Pelodiscus sinensis: one gene and its partners. The protein of the gene in region 1 binds, or shares a complex with, the protein of each later gene. Links are inferred from orthologs where the notes say so. Each region holds a gene or a part of one and is shown on either strand. Other genes may lie near its edges.

Region 1 (7,613 bases):
CACATAGAAAGAGTAAGCTGTTACTTGGTACCATTATTTCTATTTTTCTATCTTTATCTTCTTTGTAACCATTTTTAAGATCTATATTTTGCTAGTAGTTAAGAAACAGAACAATAGCCATTGCAACCATATGATTTATAAGCTTCCTCAAATAAACCTGTAACTGTTTAAGTTTTAACCTGACTCCTTCAGTTGCTGTAATAGAACCAAGCACAATTTAAAAGAACTTCAGCCGGTCATAAAGGGACAGACATAGGGAGAGCTTGGGCGTTTGGATCTGTGTCACTCCCAGGTGACAAGATCCATTGGGGCACCTTTTCAGCCTTTCCTAGGCTGCCCTCTGCAAAGGAACCCCTGTGTTCTAGCAGCTAAAATCTAAGGTGTAATAAGCTCTTCCTATATAACGGGGCGTCCGTTGGCCTGCTGGCCACCCTCTGCGATGGGACCCCGGTCCTAGCAGTAAAGACACGGACGTTAAACCTTTTCTCGGAAACGTACACACACACACTGCCCTGACCGTCGGCTGACACTCTGACAAAAAACTTGAGGAGGGGAGGAGCAGCTGAGGGGGTGCGTGGCCTGGGGGATGTCAAGGGTGCTGAGGGAGACAGCTCAGAAGGCATCGCAGATGCTTGAGGAGCAGGGGCTTGGCAGGGCTGAGGTGACTCCCAGGAAGTAGCAACCTCCAGCTGTTACCTCCAGGCTTCACATGCTGCCTTCACTCTGCCATAAGCCCTGGTTCTGCAGCTCTTACTGGCTGGGAACCGCAACCATCAGGAGCTGTGAGGATGGTGCTCATGGGCAGATGCAGCAAGTAGAGTTAAGCCCAACCATGTAAACATCAACCCACACCCCAACCCTCCCCAAACGCCTCCTGTGCGGTAGATGGGTGTACCTGAGATTACCCCAACGGTGGCTGATGTGATTGATCATTGCCCAAGTAGTCCCTAAGGCAAGCACATTGGCTACTGCAAAAGTCAAGGAAAGTCACTGAATCTGTGACCTTCGTGGTATGATATTGATACTACTAGCTAATACTAAGTGACGTTATTTCGAAACAACATAATGCGCGTATACACAGCAAGTCATTATTTCAAAATAATGTCGAGCTGGAGGACTTCTTATTCTGACTCCTGTAACCCTCATTTCACGAGGAGTAAGGGAAGTCGAAGGAAGAGTGTTCTTCCTTTGACGTCCTGCTGTGAAGAAAGCACAGAAAGCCGAATTAAGCTATTTTGACTTCAGCTACGCAATTGACGTAGTTGAAGTTGGGTAACTTAATTTGACTTCTGCTCTGCTGCGTAGACATACCCAGGGTAAACTGCAGGATGATCTACAGCTACATCAACAATCCACAAATGTTTTGCAGCCCACATAAAAGTATATATGTTGTATACGGACACCGGAGTTGCAGGTATGTAGTTAATTGGAGATGCAGGCTGACATTTTACATCCTTATACATCTTTTACCATATATACGAAAATCTAATAACTGTACATCAGTTGGTGTGATGAGCTGCTGCCTATCATGATGACAAGTATTATCTCATTGTGCCCTTGTCTTTGTCCCACTTATCTATATTTCTAAGCTTAGTTTTAGACTGACATTTTTGGTACAGGGTGGGGTCCTTGTCTATAACTAGAACTTCTAGAAACTATGATAATACAAATGATAACTGGTGAAAGATTTATACCACCTGAAGATAAACTAATACAATACTGTGCAGACTCTCTAAAGCAGAGGTGGACAAACTCAGATGCAGGGGGCCGGACCCAGTCCACCAAGCATTTCTCTCTAGCCAGCCCAGCTGATTAGCAGAGATGCAGCTGTCCTTCCCCCCCCACCCATCTTGCTCCAAGAGCTGCTTCCAGGATTCTCCTGCTAACTGTGCAGAGTGTGGGGTGAAGGCGTAAGGAATGTTGAAGCCATGGTGTTCCCCTGCCCCTGTACTCCATCTCAGCAGAGCAGAGGTTGTAGACAGATGCTATGTCTAGACTACGCAGAAGATTCGAAAGCGAAAGTAGTCGGGATGCGGCTTTTTCGGCAACCCCCCCTTTTTCAAAAAGCTGCATAAACCTCATTTTTGAGGAAGAGCAGCTTTTCAAAGAGGGGGGGAGGGGCTGCTGAAAAAGCCACGTCTCGACTACTTTCACTTTCGAAAGCTCCACTTTCAAAAGTGAGATCAGAAGAAGATTTGCAAATTATCGCAGAATTTGCGTATTCTCTTTCGAATCTTCCGCGTAGCCTAGACAAACCCAGAGACACACAGGGATGTAAATTAGACACTTTGAAATTGCAAATGAAGCTGGGATTTGAATTTCCCGTGCTTCATTTGCATAATCACGTCATGGCGCTCTTTCAAAAAAGTGCTATTTTGAAATTTAAACTGCAGTCTAGATGCAGTTCTTTCAAAAACAGAAGCCTTTTCCGAAAGATCCTGTAAGCCTGAGGATCTTTACAGGATCTTTTGAAAAAGGCTTCTATTTTCGAAAGAACTGCGACTGTGGGTGCAATTTCAAAACAGCGCTTTTTCGAAAGAGCGCCATGACGCAACTGTGCAAACGGAGCACGGGAAATAAATTCAAATCCCGGCTTCATTTGCCATTTCAAAGTGTCTAATTTACATCCCTCTGTCGAAAGAGGGATGCAGTCTAGACAGACCCTTCCCGCAGAATTTGCATATCCTCTTTCCAATCTTCTGCATGGCCTAGAGGAGCCCAGAGACACACAGGCAGCAGAGTTGCTTCAATCTGAAGCCTGCCACCCAGGGAAGGGCAGAACTGGGCATGGGGGGGGGGGGGGGGCGCTAGGCGCAGATCAGGAACATCCCCACCCCTGAACCTACTGTACAGGGAGGGTGAATCCGCAGCGCGCCTGCTCCTGGACCCCGCACACGTAGAAGCTTTTCCCTTTGTTCGGCCCATCCTTAACGCCCGTCTTGAGGCAGCAGAGAGACCCTGGCGGGGAAGAGAAGCAGCCTCGTGAGACTGGTCCCAGCCTCGCCCCCCGCAGCGCGCGGCCCCCAACCCCGCCCCCCCGTCTGGGCCCCCCCCCAGGGCCCCGCGCGCAGAGAACGGGGGCGCCCCCAGACCCTCCGCCCCTCACCGTGCCCCGCGCAGCGCACCGCCTCCATGCCGCGCCCCAGAGCCCCCGCCGCCTTCCCTGCAGAGTCTCCGGGGGGGGGGGGAAGGGGGAAGGAAACAACCCACGCGTTCCATAGGCCCCGCCCCCTTCCCCGCTCTCGGAGCCAGCCAATCCCCTCTCCTGTTCCCGCCCCTCGATGACACAGTGACCAATCAGATCGGGGCGGGAGGATGCCCGGCCAATCGCAACAGGGCCTTGCTCCTGACCCGCTCCCTGTCCGCGCGCGCACTCAACGGTTGGGAGGAGGCGGCCAGGCCCAGGGGGCAGGTCACTGGGCGGGAGGCAACCAATGGGAACAAGCGAGAGGTGCGCCCGGCCCGCCCACCACCTGCGGGCTCTGCTGCCGCTGCCAGCGCCCCGCGTGCGCCCGGGGCTCCGCAGCCGCCCCCAGCTGGGGGAGGGGCGCAGACATTGTCCCAGCACTGCCTGCCCCGCCCCCCGGCTCTGAGGAGGAGGGGCTGGCCCTTGCGCCCCTAGAAAAAGTGATGCCTCTCTCCCATACTGTGCAACCCGCCTGTCTGCTGCCCAGCTCTGCAGACAGTCCTGCAACAAACGTAGCACAGCAGTAACGGTGGCAATACCGTGACCCCCCCCCCCTATAAAAACCTTACAACCAGGGCCGTCCTTAGGATTTATGGTGCCTTATGCGGGATTATTAAACTGCTGCCCCTATGCCTAGGTTTGTCAAGCAAAAAAAAAAAAAAAACCAACCAACCCACCCACCAATACATTAAAATCACATTCCTTCCCCAAGACTCCACTCTTTTGAGGCCCCATCCTCTCTGTTCCCCATCGCTCCATCACTTGCTATCCTCAGCCATTATACGCTCTCACTTGGTTGAGAAAGGAGGTGCAGGCTGTGGGGTGGGAATGAGGGATTTGGATGTGGGAAGGGGTGAGAAGTGCAAGCTCTGGGAGGAAACTTGGATGCAGGAGAAGGGGATGCTGGCTCGGGGAGGGGGCTCCAGGCTGGGGAGTGTTGGGCTCAGGTGGAAGGTTGGGGTGCTGAGCAAGCCACAGGCTTGTGGATGTGAGGGTGCAGGAGTTTGTGTTGGATGTGTGCAGGGCTCAGGGCAAGAAGGTTGTGAGTATGATGGGTCAGGATATACATTTGCCATGTGTGGATGGTGCAGGAATGTTGTGGCAGAAGACAGGATGTGGGGATGCAGGAGTTTGGGGATGTAAGAGGCTCAGGACAGAGTATGATAGGGGTTAGCACCTTCATTGATAAAGGTTCCACCACTCCAAATCTTAATTAAGTCCATAATTAATTGAATTGAATTTGCATAAGAATTGTAATTCCAAGATTTGGAGTGGTGGAACCTTTATCAATGAAGGTGCTAACTACTTTTTGAATGAAAGACAGCACTATGTAGCACTTTACATAGTTTAACTACATAGTTCTGTCTTTTGTTTCAGCTACAGCAGGCTAATAGGGCTGCATCTCTATCACTATTCTACTTTTGAATGGTATCCTTCCTGCCTTATCCATCCACTAACTTTGATCTTTATCTACTCAGGTTTAGCACCCTTTCTCCTGATACTTTATGCATAGAGGTAGCAGTGTGGGCAGCAGAACATCTTTCTCCCCCCCCCCCCCTTCCCTTCTCCTATTTATTTTGTGTTTTCTTACCCCCTAATCATAACTTCGGTCATTTGAAGAAGTGGGTTGTGCCCACGAAAGCTCATGATACCATCTACATGTAAGTTAGTCTATAAAGTGCTACCAGACCATTTGTTTCCTGTTTTTTTCTGTAAGGGTACGTCTAAACTACATGGCTCCGTCGATGTAGCCGTGTAGATTTGTTTGTTCAGCAAAGGGAAATGAAGCCGCGATTTAAATAATCGCGGCTCCATTTAAATTTAAATGGCTGTCCCGCTCTGCCGATCCGCTGTTTGTCGGCAGATCGAGGCAGTCTGGACGCTCCCCTGCTGACATGAAAGTCCTTTATCGACCTCCCGGTAAACCTCATCCTACGAGGCATAACGGGGAGGTCGATAAAGGGATTTCAGGTCGGTGCGGGAGCGTCCAGACTAGCACGCTGTGCCAACAAACAGCTGATCAGCTGTTCGTTGGTTCAGCGCGGCAGCCATTTAAATTTAAATGAAACCGCAATTATTTAAATCGCGGCTTCATTTCCCTTTGCCGATCAGCCTAATCTACATGGCTCCATCGATGGAGCCATGTAGTTTAGACACACCCTAACAGACTAACTCGGCTAACCCCTGAAGCTTTAAAAACAGTGTAACTGAAATTGGCCAAAATGTACTGTGAATTTGGTAGGGTTCTGCTCATAGATCAGGTTCTCTAAATCTTTTGTTGCTCTCCTCTGGGCTTACTCCAATTTATTCACATCTTTCCTAAAGCGTGACACCCAGAATTGGACATAGTTCCACAGCTGAGGTTTCACAATTGTCAAGTAGCCTCCCTAGAAACACTCCCAACCTGCAGACACCTGCTGGGATATTCTCCCCACCCCGCAAAAAAAAAAACCCCAATGACCTGACCCCCACCCCGAGGAATGCCTATACCAGGGCTCTGCCCCTCACCGTGCCCCTTGCACCACACCTCCTCTGTGCTGTGACAATTAACTCTTGGGATATGTCTACACTGGCATGAATTTCCGAAAATGCTTTTAACGGAAAAGTTTTCCGTTAAAAGCATTTTCGGAAAAGCGCGTCTAGATTGGCAGGATGCTTTTCCGCAAAAGCACTTTTTGCCAAAAAGCGTCCATGGCCAATCTAGACGCTTTTTTCCGCAAAAAAGCCCCAATCGCCTTTTTCACGATCGGGGCTTTTTTGCGGAAAACAGTACTATGCTGTCTACACTGGCCCTTTTGCACAAAAGTCTTTTGTCCAAACGGGAGCAGCATAGTTTTTCCAGAAAAGCACTGATGATTTTACATGAGATCGTCAGTGCTTTTCCGGAAATTCAAGCGGCCAGTGTAGACAGCTGGCAAGTTTTTCTGGAAAAGCAGATGATTTTCTGGGAAAACTTGCCAGTCTAGACACAGCCACATGGTTTGCATACAATAATCCTGTTAATATACCCCAGAATGTTGCACTTACATCGCATTGTTGATGCATATTCAGTTTACGATCTACCTAGATCCTTTTCAGCAGTACTTCTGCCTAGCTAGTTATTCCCCATTTTATAGTTGTGCATTTGATTTTTTCCTTCCAAAGTGTAGTGCACTTGTCTTTATTGAATTTTGTTTTGCAGAGGTGGATTATTAAGACGACAGGAGACTTCTCACCTGTTGGCTTAGAGCATCTCCACAAGATTGGCTGAACCACGGTAGTACATGTACATTTTGTACTGTAGATCTGCCCATCGGTTTAGTTAAAATTAGGAAACAGGAGTAATCACAAACAGAATGCTGCTGGCAATAGGATCAAGCAATGAGAGTGGATAAAATAAATGTAGTATAATTTGTGGCCATTTTAAAGTAGATTTCATACTGCTGAGGTGCCAGACTGAGAACCTTTGCACAGATAAGGTACAGTATGAACAGCAGCAGCAGGCCTTCCTGTATGTTATTCCTTACTACTGCCTCAAATGTGACCCAGGCCATGTTTTCACTGCCAAGAGATGTGTAAATAACACGTGTGAGCTATCCTGAGGTAAAAACAGTGAAAACCAGGCATTTCAGTTTTACCATGAGGTAATCTCACTGAGCTCAACCTCTAGGGTCCGCATAGGGCTGTTTATTTTATACTTTACCTCTTGACAATCCTAAATATTTTAAATCAGAAGATTGTTTGCAGTTCCTGGGAAGTAAGTGACAAGTTTTGGAACTGAAGAACAACGGAGCACATCCCGAGGAGACTGTGAGATAATACTGGCAGACTCTCCAGATCTGAATCTGATGATCTAGAGTCTAGATTCTAGACTAAAGCTTTGTCCACATTGCAAAATTTCTGGGCTCTGACCTTGCATTACAGCCGGACCTGTGACCTGGTCCACCCCACCCCACTCCAAGCAGGGTCTGCAGGCCTGCATCAAGAGGAGTTACTGGCCTCAGTGAGACTAATTTCTACATGGACTGAAGAGGGCTTCAACCTGAGTCTTAGCTGGGTTTTAGTGTACTATGTAGATGTGCCCTATGATAAGATTCCTAGAGTGTGGACCATTTAGTACCAATTGTGATGTTGGTTTATGTAATGTAGATGCAATTTCTCCACTGAGAAATGGACTTCAAGAATTCAAATTCATTGAGGTCTTGTCTACACTGACGCAAGCACTGACTTTCCAATGTGCTGTGGAGGGATGGTGCTTGATCCCCGGCTCTGCCCCAGACTCTTCCCTGACTCCATCCATTCCCCCAAGACTCCACCCCTCCCTTCCCATCCTCTCCCATTGTGCCCCCTCCCCTGGGCATGCCATACACTCACTCTTACCTCCCTGCCTGTTTCTGGCATGTCGCAAAACAGTTGATTGCAGTGTGTGGGAACGTGGGTGAGAGAG
Region 2 (7,270 bases), on another chromosome or scaffold:
CCTCTCTTTCCCCTCTAGTGGCTGGTTCACATAACAGATAAGAGATTATTACTGTTTCCCAGTAGGGACATGAAAGTGTTTTAAGCCGGCTCCCAGCACACACTGGCTCCCAGGGAGTCACCTGCCCCTCCCATATTGCTGCCTCTGATACAGAGGCAGCAGTGAGGAGCAAGGTGGACGCAGGAGCTGGTACGCGTGGGAAACCAGCTTAAAAGCTGACCCCCCTCCACGCGTATAACCATTGAAATTTTCAGTGGTTACTTTAATTAAATACATTTTAATATCCATAGTTACCAGACAAGCAAATTGTAGAAGTCTGTGGCCTTCATGTCCCACTCCTGCTGATGACCCACATGAGGGTCAATACAATTCTACCTCACTAATTTTTTTCATTAAAAAGCTTCAGGAATTTACATTAAAACACCTACCTTAAAAGACCCAAAAGTTGCAAGTCAAGCTCTTAAAGAGTTTAAAGCACCAGAATGAAGGTTACATGCACAACTTGAATTCAACCCCTGTGCGTGTATGCATTCTAAGCCTTTAATATGATTTATCATGCTTCACTTAGCGCATATGATGGATAGTGCTCAAGAAATGCATCAGGGTGAAGTGATTGAAACTGTTCTCTGTAGGATCTCTACCTTATTTACTGCAAATGGAAAGGTGTGTAGCAAAAGAGGCGGGGAACTGCAGGCCTCATAGGTAAGAGATGAATGACACCCTGGAGAATTGGACTCTATACTTGCCTGTATCATGATGTCCCAATTGGATGCTTTTCACAAGTGGTTGCTAATTGGAGTTTTTCATTTTCTGAGTGCCTAACTGAAGACATTTGGGGTGAGATTTGCAGAAATGCTAAGCACTGTGAAAACAAATCTCAGAGGGGTAGCCTTGTTAATCTGTAACTTTACAAATGAGTAGTCCTTGGACTGCCTCTAAGGTACTACAGGACTACTACTCATTTTTCACTGTTCTCCATTTTATCAGTCAGGGGTGGGGAACCTAAGGCCCTGGGGGTCAGATGCAGCCCCCCATCCCCTAGCACTAGGGAGCCTGAGCTGGTGCTCCAACTGCCTGCTGCACCAGCATAGGGCTGGAGAACACAAAATCTACTAGCCTGGCCCTCCCCCTACACTCTGGTGGGGAGGGGAACATGGTGTCTTTCTCCTCCTGAGCTGGGGGCCATGTCAATGAGGATTTGGTTTTTTGCTTCTCACTTGTGTGCAGTACCTTATTGACTTTCTGTGGGTCAGCAGCCAACAACCCAAAAAAGGTTCCCAACCCCTGTTATAGGTAGAGAACTAACATCATCTTGCCTTAATATAGGTGAAGATCTCAGATAGTGTGATGAAGAGGACCTTAGAAAAGCTCATAAGTAAATTACTAGCTGTGTATTCAGTGCAAGGGTTTCCCTGTTGTGCAGCAAATGCAGCATTGGGTGATACAAGGGGAGAAACATAAAAAGCAATAAGCTATAAATTCGATTGACACTGTCCACTCAAAAGGGCCGTATTGCGGGAGAAATAACAATAGTAATAAGTGATAGGTGGCCGTGCCAGCACAATCTCACGCACACACACGGGCGCGCGCTCTCACGCACACTCTCACACGCACACACACGCACACTCGCGCACGCTCTCGCGCACGCTCTCACACACGCGCACGCTCTCGCACGCGCGCACGCTCTCGCACGCGCGCACGCTCTCGCACGCGCGCGCACGCTCTCGCACGCGCGCGCACGCTCTCGCACGCGCGCGCACGCTCTCACGCGCGCGCTCACGCACGCGCGCTCACGCACGCTCGCGCTCGCGCTCACGCACACGCACGCACACGCACGCTCTCACATGCACACACGCGCACGCTCTCACACGCACACGTGCACACTCACGCACGCTCTCACACACGCACACGTGCACACTCACGCACGCTCTCACACACGCACACGTGCACACTCACGCACGCTCTCACGCACGCACGTGCACATTTGCGCGCACGCTCGCGCACGCTCTCACACGCGCGCACGCTCGCGCACGCTCTCACACGCGCGCACGCTCGCGCACGCTCTCACACGCGCGCACGCTCGCGCACGCTCTCACACGCGCGCACGCTCGCGCACGCTCTCACACGCGCGCACGCTCGCGCACGCTCTCACACGCGCGCACGCTCACGCACGCTCTCACACACGCGCACACTCACGCACGCTCTCACACGCGCACGCTCTCACGCACGCTCTCACACACGCGCACGCTCTCACGCACGCTCACACACGCGCACGCTCTCACGCACGCTCACACACGCGCACGCTCTCACACGCACACACGTGCACACTCGCACGCTCATGCACGCTCTCACACGCACACACGTGCACACTCACACGCTCACGCACGCTCTCACGCGCACACGTGCACACTCACGTACGCTCTCACGCGCACACTCACGCACGCTCTCATGCGCACACTCACGCACGCTCTCATGCGCACACTCACGCACGCTCTCATGCGCACACTCACGCACGTGCACACTCACGCACACACGTGCACACTCACGCACGCTCTCACGCACACACGTGCACACTCACGCACACACGTGCACACTCACGCACGCTCTCACGCACACACGTGCACACTCACGCACGCTCTCACGCGCACACACGTGCACACTCACACGCTCACGCACGCTCTCACGCACACACGTGCACACTCACGCACGCTCTCACGCACACACGTGCACACTCACGCACGCTCTCACACGCTCTCGCACGCGGGTCCGGCTCGCAGCACAATCCCTAGTTTCCGAGCGCCTGACTCTGACACCAACTTCCGCGCGCGGGTAACTCGGAGCCCGGAGCCCCCCCCCCGTGTCACCTCAGCAGGCTCCGCGCCCCACGCCCGTGCTCGAGCCTCGGAGCCCGCGGGACGCCCCGCCCCGCCCCCGCCCCGCGGCCCGGCCGCGCTCACCAGCTCGGGCAGTCGAACAGCGACAGGCCGCCACCCGAGTTCGCGTTCGCCGCCATCTTGTAGCTACTCCATTCAAGAGGGCGCGGGGCAGGCTGGGAAACAGGAGGACCGGTCGGGGGCGATCCCGGCATGCACCGCGCGCCGCTCCCGTCACAGTGACAGTGATTGGCGGCAGGGGGCGGGGCGAGCAAACACCCGCCCTGCGTGTGGAAAGGCTGCGCCGGGGGCAGCGGCCCTGTCCCGGCTCCCGGGAGGCTCCGGGCTGGGTCCCCTCCGGAAAAGCGCCCGTGCAGACGCGGGTCTTTCAGCAAGCCAAGCACTGAGGGAGCGTCTGGAAACGGGTTTATCTTCCCACAGATCCGCGTCGAGCCGGGCGCTTTTCCCGCAAAGCTCCGCACTGGAAATAAAGCAGCAGCCATTTTTATGCAAATGAAGCGGGGGAGGGGGATTTAAATCCCCGCTTCATTTGCAATTGCGATGTGTCTAATTTGCATCCCTGTCACGGAAAAGGGGTGCAGTCTAGACACAGCCCTGGGAGCAACTCATTTCTGAGTCTTGGGACCAGCTGTGGCGGTGTTTCAAAGGGGCAGCACCAGATGGAGCCCAGGAGCAGCTGTGCGGTGCTTCCCCTTTGAAACACCACTGCAGTATTTCAAAGTGGCATTGCCACGTGGAGCCTGGGGGCAGCTGGGGACTCCTTAGCTGACCTTGCGCGAGGCGTTTCTACAGAACCCGGAGTCAGGTAGGTAGTCCCCATCTGATCCCAGGCTCCCTGCACTGCTACCACTTTGAAATGCCACACAAAGCCGGTGTCAGCTGAGTCCAGGCTTTGCACACTTTGAAATGCCGCACTCATGGGGACACTACTCAAAGCAGCAAGCTCTTTTCACACACCTACCTTACCTTTCTCACACATCTGTTTCTTTCTCTAGATTCTCTCCCTGTGGAAGACCACCCAGGGCAAATACCAGGTAGCAGGGATTTACTTAGACACCATCAAAATCAGGTTTTCATGTCAAGATGAAAACTATGGACTTGCAATCCAGCCTTCCTTAATCTTTTCTTGTACGTAACTGTTAGTACTGAGAAAAGAGTTTGCATTTAAGAAAGCGTATCTCCCCTTCTTATCCCATTGGTAAATCTCACCTAGGCTCAGAAAAGAAACTGCTAAAATCATCTGATCACTGTCTGTTTTTATAAAATAAAAATGTAGAGATCATTGATCAAAGAAACTGTTAGGGCAGCGTTTAAAGGGGAGATCTTATTTTCCACATGAAATTATCTGATTTCTAGAGCCCTGAAAATTCATGGATACCCACTTTATAATCTGAGTATCCACATCTGTGGCTCACTTGTGTATTCAGATAAAAATTTTGTATCCACAGAGGGGTCTACTGGTTTCTCTGTTTCTAGTAACTCATTTAAAAATATATGCTTTTATCCAGGTTCTGGGAAAAACCCTACTGCCTAAGGGGATGGAGGGAGGGCAGATTTCACATGGAATGGTTATAATGGTTCTGCCTGGCCCGGGAATCCATGAATCTGAGTTCAACATGCTTATAACAGCTGCAGCTCTGCATGATGAGTTGACTCTTCAAATCTCGTACTCCCCAGCTTTCATGGGTTGGTCAGGACAGAACTGCCCCTCCCCAATGCATAACCAGCCAAATGTATTCCATGGCTGCTGGTGGTATTTATAGTTTGCCACCTTCTGAAGCATCAGAGATTGGCCATTGGATGGAGTGGACCTCTGCTGTGACTGATTGGCAGATCGGGTTTTGAGAGAATTTTCCCCAGGTGTCTTGGGTTGAGACTTAAGAATAGCCTGTCTTCTGACCGTGATCAGTGCCCTAGAGGGAATGAAAATAGAATCAAATGATCCATCCTGTCACTCAACCATCTTCTGGCAAGCAGACTAGGCCACCCGTTCCCATCCTGACTATTAGCCATTGACGGACCTGCCTTCCATTAAATTTATCTAGTTCTTTGAGTCTTATAAAAAATTCCCTACCATTTAAACACTCATTAAAAATAAAATTGAAAAAGCATGGAAACAAAAACCCATTTCTTCAGCACGATTTTCCTTCTGCAGCAGGGCCTGCTGTCTTTTTAATTAATGTTGCTTAAATGCAACTTCCTTTTGCAAGAGCTCTGTATGAAAGCAGAGCACGTGTTGTGTGCATTAAGAGCCAGTGCGGGCACGTCATTTTAACTGCTCCTGGAGAGGAGAAAGCACCGTGTAGTTCTTCTGAAATGTGGAACATAAAGAAGGGTTTTTTCAGATTCTGGTCTTCCTCTTTGAACAGACCTGGGCTGTAGCCTGGTGCAGGCAAGCTGATGGCTCTAGCAGGACCAGCAGGGGTCTTTCCAAGATGGCTACCAAGATGGTGACAGAGGTTGGGCCATGCCCAGCTTGCACTGTAGAATCTGTTCTCTGCACTATTAGAAAGTTTGAAACAGGCAAAACTGGAGCCACCCATTCTCCTGGCACAGAATGGAAAGGAGGCAAAGGTCACGCTGGGGTCGGGTAGCAGGACACATCACTGCAATGGAACTGCAGCTAAACTTGCCCTAACTGGAACACGAGAAGGAGCTGCCTAGTCGCTCGGGTGGGCGGTGGACTTCGGCCCCTTCCAGAGCAGGCCTCTTTCCATTGGCCAGGGGGGCCTGGAAGTAAATAGGGTGGAATGGTGCAGAGAAGGGTGAGACCATCAGTGCTAGGAGAGAGATATTGGGTAACATCTGAGCTCCGTCCCATCAGCCTTCCAACTGCCCCTGCTCCATGTGTTAGAACTGTGGGCAGGAGGGTGGGCTAGGACTCTCAGGTGTGCCCACTGGAGACACCCACAGGGCAACAGGCTGGTGAGAACTGCTTGGCCAAAGAGCAAAACCAGGGAATTCAAACCCAGAGGTGGAAAGCTGTCAAGCACCAGAAACTGGGCACAGCATCTGCAGGAGGAAGCTTGGTCACAGATCATTTAGCAGCAAAGGCCACAGCTTTCTAGTCTATTCTCAAGCTGCAACAACCATGGCACATCCCCCACACAGGGCACACAGGAGTCACTTTGAAACACAGGCAGCACAACACTGCAGGCACTTTCCAGTCAAAACAGCAGACGCCACACTGTCCATGGAGGAGGCAAAGGTGTGGCTCTTAGGAGCTATGCCCGCCGGTGCCAGGAGCAGCATGCACTGACATGGAGGTCTCTTGCCCCTTAAAGCAGACAGGGTGGGATGAACTCCCCAAACAGTCATTACAGGACTGTGATGGTAGGCAGGTCTTTCAATGCACATGATACAATCAAAGGCCTGGAAGATACCCGGAGAGGACATCTGGTCCACTCCCCTTACCCAGAGCAGGACTTCCCAACCATGTTCAGTAAGGGACCAAATTCAGTGTACTTTTAACTAAAGTGTAATTAGAGTTTCAGGATGCAGATCACATGCGCAGGTGAGTTCCTGCTCACTTTGCACACATGGAAGTTCTTGCACTACAGAAATGAACACTGGAAATGCCACAAGCAAGAATGGTTAGAATGAAAACAGCCTTCTAGCCTATCTAGGCAAGTCAGCTCCAGGAAATATATTTTGCAGCTTTAGTGACTTCATTTTCTCTAGCACAAGGAGTTTGCCTACACTTCAAACGGTAGGAGAAAGACACTGATCAAACACTTTTAAAAATGTTTATTGACAGTTATTGGATGGAATGATGGTGCAATAGTGCAAAAAAATTGTGCAATTATGAAAACACATTCCCTCCGCAGTTTTCACATTTAGTTTAGTATTTTAACTAAGACAAACATGGAATAAAGGTTAAATACAAAATGAGTCTGTATGCTGCAGTTAGCTGCCCATGATGCACTTTTAGCTAAAGTCTTATTTTCCCATCAGCGCATTTCAGCTCAATCACAATGAAGAATGGGGGTGGCAGGTAGGTGCTATCTACTCCTATTACAATCCAAGAAGTAGAACCAGAGATCTCTTCCATTGTTAAGCAATAACCTCTGCCATTCTAACACTGCCAATCATGTACTAAGCCAAATTCCTTATTACTTATGGACATTTCATAATCTCTTCATAACTGGTATTACTGTAGTTCACAAAATACACTCTACCTATTTTAGCAGAAGTTCCACATTTTTAACTAGTAGTAGAGCTTCAAGAGTCATTTCTAAACAATTCAGTCTGGCTAATGCAAACCAGCAAGAAAGTTCAGTAAACCCTGGGGCTCTGTTTCCAGCCATGCCTGGCTGTCTCAATGAAAACACATTTAAAAACCACCATTAAAAGTGTGAAGTGGTCATATTATCTAG
Region 3 (7,221 bases), about 74 Mb from region 1:
TAAGATTATACGAATGGAAAAACCCACCGCATGAGTGGAGACTCAAAAAGTTTAGTTAGTTTGGCCTGACCTAATGAATTTGTAGAAAGCATATGATTGCTTTCTACAAATATATCAGAGGAATACCATTTATATATACTCATTAGCCCACTCGTTTATAAGACGATTCCTCCCCCAAGATGAATAGATAAAAATGGAAAACTGCCATGATCCATTCATAAGACAATCCTATATTTCAGTGGCTGGCACCCTACAGCTCCCAATGTCTGCAATTTGCCATTCCTGGCCAACAAGAGAGGTGGGAAGTAGTGGCCAGTACACCCCTCAGCCCACAATGCTTTCTACAGTTCCCATTTGAGGGGAATGATGAAATGCAGCCATTGGGAGCTGAGGGACTTCAGGCCTGAGGACACTCCAGATGCACCAGGAAATTGTGTTTACCAGCAGCCTTCCTTGATGGGTTAGATAATGAAGTTTGCCATCCTCTAATCAAGAATGTGGAAGATCTAGAGGAGATGGGTTAACATTTACAAAACACAACTTTTAAGAATTTAAATGTGGCATTTAGAACACAGACTTGGTTCACATATTTAGCTCCCACACTGTATTATTCCTAGCCTAAGGGCTACGTCAATATTAAAATTTTATTTTGTGCATATTACCACTCCTTCACTATCACACCTTATATCTGAAATTTCACTATGGATATTGCAAGAGACTATTTTTGTGCTGTCACTTCATCAATCTGACCTGATATCCATATAAAATGAGGGTCTAGATGTTAACATATATGGAAAGGACCTTCAACAGTAGTTTTTCCCCTTTAAGATCTATTACAAAATAATTCCACAGTTCCTCACCTTTATATTGCAAGCCACTGCTTTTCCATCATCACCTTTGTACATCAGTTTCATCCCTCGCAGAGCATTCATGGCCTTGATGAAACCTACATACTCGTGATACTGAACATAAGCTTCAAAATTCAAATGTCCTCCAAAACTGAAAGTATGAAAATTTCTTCCAGTCATTTCTTCTCTATATGGATCCAACATGGGTATGTCCACATTACGTATTTCCCCAAATTTATTAAATACTTTTATAAGGACTTCTTCACTTGGTTTTTCTGAGCCAGAGTCCTTCAGTGCAAACCATTTGCAAGGTAACCCCTCTAAGTGAATGGTGTCTGGTCTCTCGCCTGGCAAAGTTTCATTCATATCTTTTGCATCACGGAAGAAAGAGTCCCAGTCATGTCTAGTAGGAAAGTCAATTTTATATTCTGCAGCACGAACTTTTAAAATGTCAGAGAAGCCACTAAGTTTTATTGTTTTGCCATCAAGGCATGCAAGAAAGGACTTAACCAAACTTTTGTTTTCAACCTCTCCTTCAAAACGAATAAAGTCCATGGTACTTTTGGAAATCCGTAGTGTGGAAAACTGATGCGTTTGCACCATTCCTTTTAGTCTTTCCATCACTTCCCAGTTAGAAATGGATTTTCCTGGTTGCTTCAGCTGAGGAAGGGCCACACTAATAGTCATTTTTGTAATGGGTTTAAGATATAAACCATATGTAGAACAGAGCTCTACTGCTTCGGATGTATCATGAACTATGGTAGCAGCAGCCATAGCACAAAAAAAAAAAAAAGTATAAAAACAGTAAGGAAAATGTATACTAAGTGAACTTATAGGCCACACTAATTGAGGAACATAGTCCCTATCTGTAAATAACTGACCATTTCTGAGACTTAAATATTACCAAGTAAAGCCACTGATTCTTGGCATGAAAGTTAATTAGGAAATTTAACAGCATTGCCATTATAAACTGTTTTCTAAACATCACAATATAGGAATTCAGTTCCAAGACTTAAATATTAGCCACAAGAATAAAGCCCACAGAGAAATTGAAAAGCTGATGATATGAATAATAAATATGGCTTGATATTCAATGACTCAACCGTTAGTTATGCTTCAGGAGGAAGCATTGTGAAACTCATGTTATCACCTAGTACTAGCATGAGCAGAATAATTGAAGTATTAACCAGAAACAGTTATACTGCAACAGTCCAATCTTGAAGAACTCCATATTCTCAAATAGATGACTTTATTCTGGAAAGAAAGAAAAACAAATTTCCATTTAAAGGGAAAAATTAGCCTTATAACTCTTGCTCAGACCTAAATATATTATACATGATGCAACTTGAAGACAGCGAGAGCCCTTTCCTAGAATGGGAAACAGCAACACCAAATAGTATTTGATTTACTCAAAACACATTTGTGAATGTTATCTATAGATGTGCTCTACTTGTAAGATAATTTCACAAATAGATAGATTTGCCAGTGATTCACAAATACAACTCTTATCAGTCATAAAATAAACTGAGAAAATGAGAAATCAATAAATGACCAACAAATTCACCTTCCACATACATTCCCCATAAGAAAGTATTTCCATCTATAAAAAGTGAAATTTGCAGTCAGGCAAAAGAAGAAAAACCGTACGCGTGTTTTACAGCTACTTATTGTGTATATTTAGACACAGGATGTTGGTAATTTGCCTTTTAACCAATACAGAAGCTTTAACTTTTTTTTTCCTACGTCCAGTACATAAACATTGTCTGATCCGGCCCCCTCCCCCATCACCCCCGAATTCTGCACAACAGGGCCAGAAACACACGTTTTAAAAGCTCTAGAAGAACCTTGAGCGGCGTCCTTCCCAGGCGGCACCTGGCGCTTCCTTCCCACCTGATTCCGCTGCCCCCTCCCCCGCCACCCACACCCCGGCCCGGGCAGCTCGGATAGAGCCGAGGGGGGTGAGGAGGGCTGCGAATGTTTACGGGGACAAAGGTCACGGCTACCCCCGGGGAGGGCTCTGCGGCCCCCGCCCCCACCTTCAACAGAGACGGGCCTACTGGAAACCATGGGGGGGGAGGGGCTGGTCTGACTCACCCCGCGACGGTCTGCGACCCCTTCCCCCTCCAGGCCGCCGCCGCTGCCGAATGCGACTGACCCAAAAGAAAACAGAGGAGCGGGCCTCCGCGCCGGCGTCCCACAACCCCCTGCGGGCGAACTTCCGCTTCCGGGTTGGCTCAAGCGGAGGGAAGGTGAGAAACAACGATCCCGGAGCGATGTGGAAGTGGCCAGGCTGGATCGGTCCTCCTACTCTATGGTGCCAGGAAAAAAAAAAAAAGGCAGCCCGGCGCGGAATGCGGGCGCGCGCCCCCTGCGGGTGCGGCTTGGTGTCGCCAGGGCCAGAGGAGCCTCCATGGCCCGGGGGCGGAGCCCGATCCCTGGGGAGGGGGCAGGCGCGCGAGCCTGAGCCTCTCCCCTCCCCCAGCAAGCCCTATTGCAGCGTCCCAGCCAGTGCTCTGGAGGCCCAGAGCAGGGCTCTAGGTCGAGCTGCTTCCCTCAACTAATGTGATGGTGCAATTGCGCTGGCACTTTCACAGAATCACAGAATACTAGGACTGGAAGGGACCTCGAGAGGTCATCGAGTCCAGTCCCCTGCCCCCATGGCAGGACCCAGTACTGTCTAGACCATCCCTGATAGACATTTATCTAACCTACTCTTAAATATCTCCAGAGACGGGGATTCCACAACCTCCCTGGGCAATTTATTCCAGTGTTTAACCACCTTGACATTAACTTTTTCCTAATGTCCGTCCTAAACCTCCCTTGCTGCAGTTTAAACCCCGTTACATAAAACCTTTCCATGTAAAAAAAATGGTGTGGAGAAAAGCTTGAAAAGGCGAGACAAACGCAGTATGTGAGAAACCAAGAAAAAGATCCCACATTTTACTTGTTTTTAAAAAAATCTTGCGATGTTTTTAATACCTGGCTTTGGCAATACTGAGGTTCAGTTGTTGTGGAGGGGACCTTTTTATGGAGAATGGAGAGGCTGAGAAAATTAGTACATTTATTCTAAATAGGGTCGCCAGATGGTTGAAACAAAAATACTGAACACCCTCCCCCCCCCCCCAAAAAAAACAGAGAAAAAATTCTGTTGAAGGAAAAAAAGGGGTGGGGGGGAGACCAAAGTTCTTGAACAAACAAAAAAAAGACTCCGAGACCATTTTGTGCTGGGAGCCTTGCAGAACCAGGTAAACATGGGGGCTGGGATCAGGCGGCTGGGGGTGTTGGGAGCCAGGAGGGCAATCGAGCAGGGGGAAAGCAAATTGCTTCTCAGTTTAAATCTCTGGGGGTATGTCTGCACTACAGCGCTAATTCGAACTAACTTAGTTCGAAATAGTTAATTCGAATTAGTTAATTCGAACTAAGCTAATTCAAATTAGCGCAGCTAGACTTAAAAACTAGTTCGAATTAGCGTTTTGCTAATTCGAACTAGCATGTCCACACAGAGTGTCCACACGTCCGTTAGTTCGAATTAACTTTGTTGTGTAGACATACCCTGTGTTAATCATAGGATCACCGCTAGGGTTACCAGGTAGTCATAAAAAAAAAATACCGAGAAAGGACCGGCCGGGAGGGGAGCAGTGATGGCCGGGAAGAGAGTGGGGGGGGCCGGGAAACAGAGCTAACTGGGGGGGGGCAGCAGAGCTGGCTAGGGAAGATTGGGGGGCCGACGGAAAGCAGGGCTGGTCAGTGGGGGGGGTCGGGCGGAACAGGGCTGGCTGTGGGATATTTGGGGGGGTGGCCAGCGAGGGCAGAACTGACCGGGGGAGCTCAGGAGGAGGGGAGAACTGGCCGCCAGAAGCAGGGCTCTCAGGGAGTGCAGCGGGGCTGGCCGGGGAAAATCCAGAGCAGGAACTGGCCAGCGAGACTCAGAGCTGGCGGAGGGGGCAGGGGAGCAAATCAGCCAGCGTGGAGCAGGACTGACCCGGGCTGTGCAGATCCTAGAGCGCTCCCGTCACACACGAGTCAGTCCGGCTGCGGCTCCACCACACGCTTGACCAGCGCGCAGGAGCATGGACCGGGCTGCCCCTCCTCCTCACATGCAACCAGAGGCTCCCAGTGCCGATCATGCCCCGCCTCCCAGTCACTCCTGCCCCCGCCAGGCTTCTGTCCAGCGTCCAGCCAGAAAACCAGGAAATACCGGACATTGCACATATCCAGTGTTTTCTGGATTTTTTTTACCGGACAGAGGGCCAAAAACCAGACTGTCGGGTAGAAAACCGGACACCTGGCAACCCTAATTCTAAATCATTTACTAGTAATGCTTAATGTGGTAATGCTCACAGGACCCAATAAGGATTAGCACTCCAATGTGCTGAATGCTGTACAAACACGGGAAAAAAATCCTTGCTTTGATGGGCTTAATATCAGTACTACCCATTACATATACTATGTAAATAACTTGAGAGATCACCATGTTTCTAAAATAATCTGACTTTATTACAAGAACTATTTACAGCGGTGCTACAATAGTAGCTAACATTCCAGGCACATGCACACAGACTGGCTTACTGGTGACTCTTTCAAACTCTTCTGTCCTGTATCTGTGGAGTTCTGTGCAGTATGCAATACCAACTCTCACTATTTTATGGCTACTCTTTCCACATATTTAGTGTTCTTCTTAAAGCTGCAGCTCTGGATACAAGTGATGGTGTGAGAATCTCACTTCTCATGTAAACAAAACAAAACAACAAAATAAGTAGTTGCCCTCTGTTGTGGCTTGACTCTTTATAGAACAGTCATCAATATGAAGAAACCACGTGGGTATATTTAGGTCTGGGTGTTTGCTAATTACCATGAATTAGCAAATATAACCCATGGGTTATATATGTTTTTACAAACCATGCGTCCCCTCCCTCCATGGGGTATACATGTCTGCGTCTTATATAAATTGATTTATACTCCAGGAGCATCAGTTCCCCTAAGCGTCTCTGCTCGCCCGCCATGAGAACAGGATTAGCTCTGCTGCAGAGAGGGCCTGACGAGCTTCCAGCGTGTCCGCGCACGCTCTCCATTCTCCCCGCCCGGAGGAGGGTGGGTGACGCCTGGCTGCACGGGGTGGGCCTGGGCATGAGTGTGTCTCCCTCTCGCAGTCCGTCTGGCTCACTGACAGCAGGATGGCTGTCGCCTTGTGTCTGCTGTCTATGCACTGCTGCCCAGGGCTGCTGTAGAAGTCCCTGTGGGTTATAAACATACGCGGGTAATCTGCAAATTTGACAAATGTAATATACGCCATCATGTGCCAGCAATGCCCCTTTGCTATATACATTGGCCAAATTGGACAGTCCCTACGCAAAAGAATAAATGGACAGAAATCAGATATTAGGAATTACAATATACAAAAAACCTGTAGGAGAACACTTCAATCTCCCTGGACTCACAATAGCAGATTTAAAGGTAGCCATCCTGCAGAAAAAAAACTTCAGGACCAGTCTTCAGAGAGAAACTGCTGAGCTGCAGTTCATTTGCAAATTTGACACCATCAGCTCAGGATTAAACAAAGCCTGTGAATGGCTAGCGAATTACAAAAGCAGTTTCTCCTTTCTTGGTGTTCACACCTCCATATCGGCTACTAGAAGTGGGCCTCATCCTCCCTGATTGAATTTACCTCGTTATCTCTAGCCTGATTCTTACCTGCATATTTATACCTGCCTCTGGAAATTTCCACTACATGTATCTGAGAAGTGGGTCTTTGCCCACGAAAGCTTATGCTGCAATACATCTGTTAGACTATAAGGTGCTACAGGACTCCTTGTCACTTTTGCAGATCCAGACTAACACGGCTACCCCTCTGATACTTAAAGTGATATATCACTTAATTACCATATATATAAGCTTTCATGTTTGCAGAGAAAAGTCTGTGAATGTGAACTGATTATACCCTAAAAGGCTCAAAAACCAGAAATCAAAAGATTTTTTAAAACATTTTGTTTATTTACAAGTTATTTTAACCCCAATCCTGTAGTTTTAGGGGTCAGACTCTTGATTTCTGAAAACTTACCATAACCGATACTGCAATCTAAAATCACAAATGTGAAGGAAGTAGTGAAAGGGAATATCACTTCACACACATTGGCTGTGTCTACACTGGGCCACTTATTCCAGGAAAGCAGCCGCTTTTCTGGAATAAGCTGCGAGCTCTCTACACTGGCCGCTTGCTTTTCCGGAAAAGCAATGACGATCTACTGTAAAATTGTCAGTGTTTTTCCGGAAAAACTATGCTGCTCCCGTTCGGGCAAAAGTCCTTTTCTGGAAAAACTGTTCCGGAAAAGGGCCAGTGCAGACAGCACAGTAGTCTTTTTTCTAAAAAAGCCCC

The links. The genes of interacting proteins can lie anywhere in the genome.
Region 2: TTF2 (region 1) and PPP1R8 share a complex: the UniProt entries of both Homo sapiens proteins name them as parts of the spliceosome. The link is inferred for Pelodiscus sinensis from reciprocal best matches to the Homo sapiens genes TTF2 and PPP1R8.
Region 3: TTF2 (region 1) and AKAP17A share a complex: the UniProt entries of both Homo sapiens proteins name them as parts of the spliceosome. The link is inferred for Pelodiscus sinensis from reciprocal best matches to the Homo sapiens genes TTF2 and AKAP17A.

What each region holds. Positions count from the first base shown.
Region 1 is NC_134711.1:149,418,050-149,425,662, forward strand, and holds the start of TTF2 (transcription termination factor 2), read right to left. Parts: upstream 3,235-7,613; 5' UTR 3,220-3,234; coding exon 3,126-3,219; coding exon of another isoform or gene 3,107-3,125; intron 2,959-3,106; coding exon 2,847-2,958; intron 1-2,846. UniProt on the Homo sapiens protein: DsDNA-dependent ATPase which acts as a transcription termination factor by coupling ATP hydrolysis with removal of RNA polymerase II from the DNA template. May contribute to mitotic transcription repression. May also be involved in pre-mRNA splicing.
Region 2 is NC_134735.1:22,793,490-22,800,759, reverse strand, and holds the start of PPP1R8 (nuclear inhibitor of protein phosphatase 1), read right to left. Parts: upstream 3,112-7,270; 5' UTR 3,089-3,111; coding exon 2,958-3,088; intron 1-2,957. UniProt on the Homo sapiens protein: Inhibitor subunit of the major nuclear protein phosphatase-1 (PP-1). It has RNA-binding activity but does not cleave RNA and may target PP-1 to RNA-associated substrates. May also be involved in pre-mRNA splicing.
Region 3 is NC_134711.1:223,232,448-223,239,668, forward strand, and holds the start of AKAP17A (A-kinase anchor protein 17A), read right to left. Parts: upstream 3,112-7,221; 5' UTR 3,004-3,111; exon of another isoform or gene 2,943-3,003; intron 2,875-2,942; exon of another isoform or gene 2,671-2,874; intron 2,103-2,670; 5' UTR 1,623-2,102; coding exon 861-1,622; intron 1-860. UniProt on the Homo sapiens protein: Splice factor regulating alternative splice site selection for certain mRNA precursors. Mediates regulation of pre-mRNA splicing in a PKA-dependent manner.